Linked DNA regions of Kluyveromyces lactis. The main gene of each other region encodes a partner of the protein of the gene in region 3 in a complex. Links are inferred from orthologs where the notes say so. Each region holds a gene or a part of one and is shown on either strand. Other genes may lie near its edges. The genes, in order: MRPL49, RTC6 and IMG1.

What was found.
Region 1: IMG1 (region 3) and MRPL49 share a complex: the UniProt entries of both Saccharomyces cerevisiae proteins name them as parts of the mitochondrial large ribosomal subunit. The link is inferred for Kluyveromyces lactis from reciprocal best matches to the Saccharomyces cerevisiae genes IMG1 and MRPL49.
Region 2: IMG1 (region 3) and RTC6 share a complex: the UniProt entries of both Saccharomyces cerevisiae proteins name them as parts of the mitochondrial large ribosomal subunit. The link is inferred for Kluyveromyces lactis from reciprocal best matches to the Saccharomyces cerevisiae genes IMG1 and RTC6.

What each region holds. Positions count from the first base shown.
Region 1 is NC_006042.1:1,309,198-1,311,450, reverse strand, and holds MRPL49 (mitochondrial 54S ribosomal protein bL21m), read right to left. Parts: upstream 1,131-2,253; coding exon 648-1,130; downstream 1-647. Other genes in the region: mitogen-activated protein kinase kinase kinase BCK1, read right to left, coding at 1-330; enoyl-CoA hydratase PHS1, read right to left, coding at 1,449-2,093. UniProt on the Saccharomyces cerevisiae protein: Component of the mitochondrial ribosome (mitoribosome), a dedicated translation machinery responsible for the synthesis of mitochondrial genome-encoded proteins, including at least some of the essential transmembrane subunits of the mitochondrial respiratory chain.
Region 2 is NC_006041.1:1,683,256-1,685,656, forward strand, and holds RTC6 (mitochondrial 54S ribosomal protein bL36m), read right to left. Parts: upstream 913-2,401; coding exon 670-912; downstream 1-669. Other genes in the region: tRNA (34-2'-O)-methyltransferase regulator RTT10, read left to right, coding at 1-492; kinetochore-microtubule binding complex subunit SPC105, read left to right, coding at 1,496-2,401. UniProt on the Saccharomyces cerevisiae protein: Component of the mitochondrial ribosome (mitoribosome), a dedicated translation machinery responsible for the synthesis of mitochondrial genome-encoded proteins, including at least some of the essential transmembrane subunits of the mitochondrial respiratory chain.
Region 3 is NC_006042.1:571,759-574,140, reverse strand, and holds IMG1 (mitochondrial 54S ribosomal protein bL19m), read right to left. Parts: upstream 1,133-2,382; coding exon 617-1,132; downstream 1-616. Other genes in the region: BUD23 (18S rRNA (guanine1575-N7)-methyltransferase), read right to left, coding at 1,442-2,245. UniProt on the Saccharomyces cerevisiae protein: Component of the mitochondrial ribosome (mitoribosome), a dedicated translation machinery responsible for the synthesis of mitochondrial genome-encoded proteins, including at least some of the essential transmembrane subunits of the mitochondrial respiratory chain.

The DNA.
Region 1 (2,253 bases), about 740 kb from region 3:
AAATGTAATCCACTGATCGTTGAAATCGTTAGCTCTGAACCACTGTATTATCCTGGGCATCGTCCACTGGCTCGGATCAGTGACATCCCAATTGAATAATAGTCGCTCAGATGTTAACGAATTGGTGCTCCCACCAGAGGACTTCCTGGATCCCTTGCTGCTGGAATCAAAACTATAATCGTTCTTCAAACCACTGGTCACCTTGTGATCCAATGACGATGGATAAAACTCACTGATATTGGCAGGATCAACATGTTTGTTGAGTATAGATGAGGCAGATCCTGACCTTGAATGTCCAGCAGTGCTACTCTTCTTCTTCAAGAAAGACATATCATCCACGGTTCATCTATATTTAGCGGGACTTTACTTATCAGATACTAAAGTATCGATACCCAGTAATTGTTGCACTAAGCTCTTCTCTTATCGTCTTTCTCCCCTCTTTATTAACGATTAAAATGGTATTAATTACAATTGTTTCTATTTGAATTTATATCTATTCTCTAAAACGGTAAACGTTTCTAACAAATTCGATGAGATGCTGCCACTAAAACATAGTTACTAGATGGTATAGTATTTCTAATCGATCTATAACGACCTAACATTATATTAAACTTTTATTTACACGATTTTGTAGGAGGGTTAGTTCATTAATTGACTTTTAGCTCGGATATTCTCAGAATAGTCAAATCGGCTTTATTGACCGCATGACGCACTTTCCTGTTTCTTCTCTTGGTAACTTCTCTCACTCTAAGCGGGCGTTTTGTCTTCTCAAGAACTGTAGCCTTAATAGTGTATAGAGATGGATCAATAGGTTCGTCCACGAGCTTGAAGTTACGAGAACCAATGGTAGTCACATCAGTCAAATTTAGCACATCGCCGACCTCTGCTTGCTTCAGTTTAAACGGTAAGATAACCTTATCTCCTTCTGTCACCAAGTATGGTCTGTTGTGTATTCTGAATACGGCATATAGCTCATTGGATAACTTCAACGGCGTTAAATTCACCTTCGCTTTTTCTGCTACCGAGTGTGTTGTTCTGATGAAACTTCTCTTCAAAGGTTGAAGAAATGGGCTGAAACCCACCATTTGCCTTACTGGGAGGGCAAACATATGACTGATATTCTTGAACATCGTTTCTGCACTGATTCGAACGACAATTGGCAGATGCAATAGCCCTTTCAATCTGCTTCTTCTCACTTGTCTTAAATGTTGTTCAACTAGTCGTATACTGTTTCAACAGAAAATTTTTTGAGCCTTCGAGAGTTAAGTGTTGATGTCAGTCACGTGACGTGACGTGAAAAGTAGGGCACACACACAGTCATGAGAAGGAAGAGCCAACGGCCACGCCAAGGGACAGCGTCGTTTCATTTGTGCATTCATTCGGGTATGTTACAAATGTTACAGAACTTTTATACATGAGTCAAACTATTCTTTTAATCCTGTGACAATTCATGCAGATTTGCGTTTATCACCGTTCAAGGATCTCATGACCTTCCTTCTTTGGGCAACCATGTGTGAGAATAGCACCGGGAACCCTGGAATGTAGGCTAGCATACCTGCAATTAAGAAATACTTGTACAAGATATTGTATTTTGCTTCAGCCAACGGCAATGCAGAATAAATTATGAACAATTCGCTGCCGACGCCCAATGGATATAGCACGTAAAACATGTTATATCTCAATACAACAAGTACAGTAGGCGCTTGAGCCACCAAGTTGAAGAAGTAGAACATGTACCTCACTATTTCAGCAATACACCATGCCGACAACAACGTGATGTAATATATTTTATGCGCATTTTCTGCTTCCGGCACATACTGGAAGATACCGATGACTACCAAGAGTCGAGAGGCCACTTGAGCAGCAGTGGTCACTAGCGGAGCACGGACTATTCCAAACAAAGAATTTGTGACTTCAATTATAGCACCGCATTGAACGTACGTGACTAAATCCTTGGTAGCAATAAAGAAACTTGGTTGACCGATCTTTGGGTAAAGGGTCACGACTTGATATAGGACATAAGCCCAGGCAGAAGCAGAAAGTAGGTTGTAAAGAGGAAGGAAGGAGAAGATAGAAGCCTTAGATGATGCCATTGGGTGTGAAAGTGTATTGGTGGGCTCTTTGGACTTCGGGGTTCAATTTATTAAGATCCAGTTCGGTTCTAAACAGACCAGTTTTTGTCAATAACAAGAATTCATGGTTTCAGATTCATAAAATTAAGTGATGCATTGAGACGAAAAGGAAGAGAAATCC
Region 2 (2,401 bases), on a different chromosome or scaffold from region 3:
GTTCCGTTCGAGATAAGGAATAATGAGCTTTTTGACAGGGGCCTCAAATTGGAAACAAAACAATTACAAAACTGGTCCGAAAAAATCCTGGTACACACAGCAGGTATCAAATCACTCGACGTGAAGCTTGACAAGTCTTCGGATTCATTCAAAGTATATTCTGGGGGTGATGACAATGCTGTAGCCATCACTAAATTTACGAACAATGACAACTACACGATGAAAGCCGAAATACTAGATCACGATTCGTATGCTGCTTCATCAACAGTAACATCAGTGAATCTGTTAGATAATGACACAAAATTATTGGCTACATCAGTGGACCAGGTCATAAGAATTAGGGACATTACGAATGACAAACTGAAAATAACGGAGAGCAAATATACCACAGTAGCAGATACCGGTTCCAGTGATATAGTTACGTTACCAAACGTCCAGAAAACACTTATATTAATAGGAGGATTAGGACTTTCCTGTTGGCGAGATGAATAATATCTAACCATCTAAACTTCAGAATTTTATATATTTAAAACCAGTTTATTAGTATAGAATGGAAATTATTTATAGAAAGAAGGCTGCATTTTTCCACATTCAAGAAAAGAACACATCCTCCATTATGACTTATCTATATACATGAAAGATTGGGACGAATGGGAGGGCGATTGTAATTCAACCTTGACGTTGTTTATGCTTCTTATTGGACTTACAGTAAACGTACACTCTGCCCTTACGTCTAACCATGTAACAATCGTTACAGAACTTCTTGATGGAAGTTCTTACCTTAAAACCTCTGGTCAAAGGAGGGTTCATAAGACCCATCATTGGCATAGATAGCATATTGATACTTTTCACAGCTGGCCTTGTCAGTCTTGTCAACGAGTTCAACATCGTACTTCCGAAAAGTGTGCTCATTATGTATGTATTTCCCTCTCTTTATATTATATCGGGCTCCAGAGTTATACCTGTGAAGAGTTTTCAGTTTTTGATATCACCCACGGTCTTGAAACGTACTAATGGAGTCCACAATCGTCAATAAGGCATCACACCGACTGAACATGCCCTCTATAGCTGATGATCTACCATGAAAAGGCCTTCGATAATTTTTCAAAATAGTTTCAATGGAGATTAAGATATTTACCCGGACTATAGCACGTGATGGTTATGACCTGAGATCTTGAACATCCTCATCTAGTGAACATCTTTGGGCAAATCTGAAGACCGTTTCGAATCACTAACAAATAAATAATTGATGAAGTACACCCATCCTTTCTAAGAGACTCTTCAAGGCAGTTGTTTTATCCTTTTTCTCGGTTCTCACTGTATGTGCAGCAGCGCTCTGAATCGAAAACATTGAACTTCGAAAACGTAAACAATCGAATTTTAGATCAATATATTGACACACAAATACCGAATCATCATAAACTTAAGGACTAATATTTAGGTTAAGTTTCCATTTATTATCATATTTCACCCTGTGTTGATAGTCTCGCTTCATATGACAGATCCAAAACGATTGTCTTTGCTTCCGAGAAGTATCCTTAAGCAAAAATTTAAGGATGATGATACAACTAACACCAGTCATAATTTGACTATGTCCCAGATACAGTTTCCTACTGAGGGAATTACCAAAGAAGATATACTGGACGGAAACAATACGACATCCCGGATCAGTGCTGCGATTTCGAAGGGAAATCGCCGTGTGTCCTTTGCACCAGATGTGACTTTGCACAAGTTCGAATTCATACCACAATCGATTCAAAATGTAAGGGAACCTCGAAGGAAATCCGCTTTAAAATTGGAAGTGGCAGTAGCTGAAGCCTCTATGGCCGATACCAAAAATGATAACGACAATTCTGGAGAAACAATGGAATTTACTAGTCCGATAGGTTCAATATTCCAAAAATTGGAGTCTCCAAGCGAACCGAAAAATGATGGGTACCAACCTGTGTTCGACAAAGAGGTTTCAATGGATATAACACAGTTATTTGCAAAACATAGCGCTAAACCAGACGATAATGTGGTACCGCAAGAAACCTCTACTGCTGCGGAAGAAGAAGAAGAGAATGGTAACGAAGACCAAGTTTTGGAGGAAACAATGGACCTTACAGAACCGCAGAAACGCCGCTTTAACGAAGAAGAGTCTATGGAAATAACTGACCAAATACGGATGGATGCAGAAAAACCTACGCTAGATGCAGATTCAGAATCTGCTTTCAAATTACCTAAGATACCAGCAATTACAGAGGAAACAATGGAATTTACAAACGTGCAGGCTCCTCTGGAGATGCGAGAGTCACAGATAGTTTCTTCAACTCAACTAGAACCAACTCAACTCCCGCAGTCAAAAAGAAGGAAATTATCTAACGGTGGTTATCAGTCTCCGGTCAAATTGCAGGTACCA
Region 3 (2,382 bases):
ACAGTTTCATTGCATCGTGGCGCAACCATCCACGAGATCAAAAATGCGGGCGTGCTGCCTTACCTGTTATGGTTGTTTTTTAATGTCAGCTTATTTCAATTTTTTTTCAATAGAGACGGCTGGTACGGCTTTCATAACATTATACCACTACTTTTTTGAACCAATCAAGAACCTTCATAAATTATCAAAAATGCGGACCAAAATTGCTTGTAATCTTTTCATTTCTAATAGAGCAACTTGCTCACTCAATGCAGCTTTGTTTTAGATAGAGCGTACAAATCCTTTCTTATGCTTATCCTTTCTCATGATTTTCCTTTCTTATTGGATGCACTTGATGAGGTATAAGGACTAGCATAATCCGCCTTTTTATTTTACAGATTATACAATTATATATCCACCCGACATGCTAATGATACAAATAACTTTACCTAGAGAAGCTGGACCTGCATAGAGTACCTTGCATTATGGTTCAACTCTGGAGCTCTTTCAACTTTGAATCTTCCTTGTCTTTGGGTTTGCATTGATATCGAGCATTACTTACTATATGTTTGAATTGCTTCTATGTACATGTTTCATTTTATGAAAATTCAGCAAGTGTTTGATAGTGTGAATGTGCTCATTTCTTCTTTCTCATACTTGCTTCCAAATCTCCGACATCCAATCTGGTGTTTCTGATGTAATAATGTTTACTTCTGCGTCTCTTACCATCCGCTCTTCTAATCAAATCAATTCTCTCTACCAATGGTGAGAAGATTGGCACTCTCATTTCCACACAGGTTTTATAAATATAATCTCTTAATAGAATGGATGTGTCTTGTACTATTGGCTTACGGTCTACCGATAGCACATATCCAGTAAAACTATCGTAGTTGCATTTCTTGGAATCGTAAACTACACGAAGAACATCACCTGCACGTAGACGATTTGGGTTTTTCTTTGAAACCATCTCTGTTTTTACACCAGTTGGGTCAAGTTGTTTTAGATCATGATCAGCTAGAGTCTTCACTACTAATGGGGAGGATATTCTTTCAACTGGTGGGTAAACTGGAATAATCTTTCTTCCACTCTTAGCTGGAAGTTGATAACTTCTAACAGATTGTCTGATAACGGTAGGTAGTAGTCTCTTTAACATTGTATGGGACTAATATAGTTTTGGAATGGGAACTTGATCTGACGGGTAGTAAAGGCTTAAACTCAAATATAAACTGCGCTTCAGTGCTTTCTTAACTCTTAGGTACTTATGTTTCCATCTTTTTTAACCAAAATTTTCGAATGTTCTTTCTATGGAAAACTACAACATAGGTTTGATGATCATTTTAAACGTTTTGATCATGGCAGATGCAATAGACACGGAAAATGGTGAATGAATGATAACGTTTCAGTCCATGTTTGCTGATTGTATTAAGTGCGTATCTACTAATTCTATATATGCAAGACCATACTAAAACCTAGGTCTTCTCTTTCTACCCGTAAACTTCGAGTCGAGAGCTACCTTTCTACCTCTTTTTTTCATCACCTCCTTCTTTCTGTTGATGTAATCCTTACTTGATTCAACTAGTTTCTTTTTACGCTCTCTCTTTACCATTAGATCTGCATCCATCTTAACACCATCCAAGTTGACTTGTTCATTCTGTTCTGTAGATCCGGAGCTTAATACCAAGTAGTACTTCTTGTTCTTTTTGGACTCGGGATCATCAATGACAAGGCCACCAGAGAATCCAGCTACTTTTGCTGCTCCCAAGATTTGGTCTATTTGATCATCATTCTTTGGATAGAATTGTGCTACAAATTTTCCTCCTTTCTTCAAACTAGCAAATAGTGTATTGAAGAACCTCATGAGCCTTCTCTTTGGATCGTTGTACGATGTGTCCGCATTACATAACCATTGAATCACAGATATACTAATTGCCGCATCAAATACACCTGCTCTAAATGGAATACCTTGACCTATATCGTGTAACATAAGATCACCTTCAACTTCTCTTTCTAGCGCTTCAGCTAACATACTAGGAGAAATGTCTAATCCACACCATATATGTCCTTCTTCAGTGATGATTTCACCACTTAAACCAGACCCACACCCAATATCCAAGATATATGATGTATGTGGCAGGTTGAGAAGTTCTAAGGCCCGAAGTGTCATTTTAGCTTGAATATGTTGCACTCTTGTGGAGCCACTATACTTCTTAGATTCACTGTCATTGTAAAACACTTCTGGTGGTGCCAAATCTTCTGGACGTGACATTTCGATCTCAAACTTCTTGTAATTGTTATCCTATTATACTTTATTCCCGTCAGTTGATTAACAGAGCATATCAATGCAAACAGCTTGCTCAAGTAGCCATTGTTAGTTCGTAAATGTTTGGCGATGACCGAGATGAG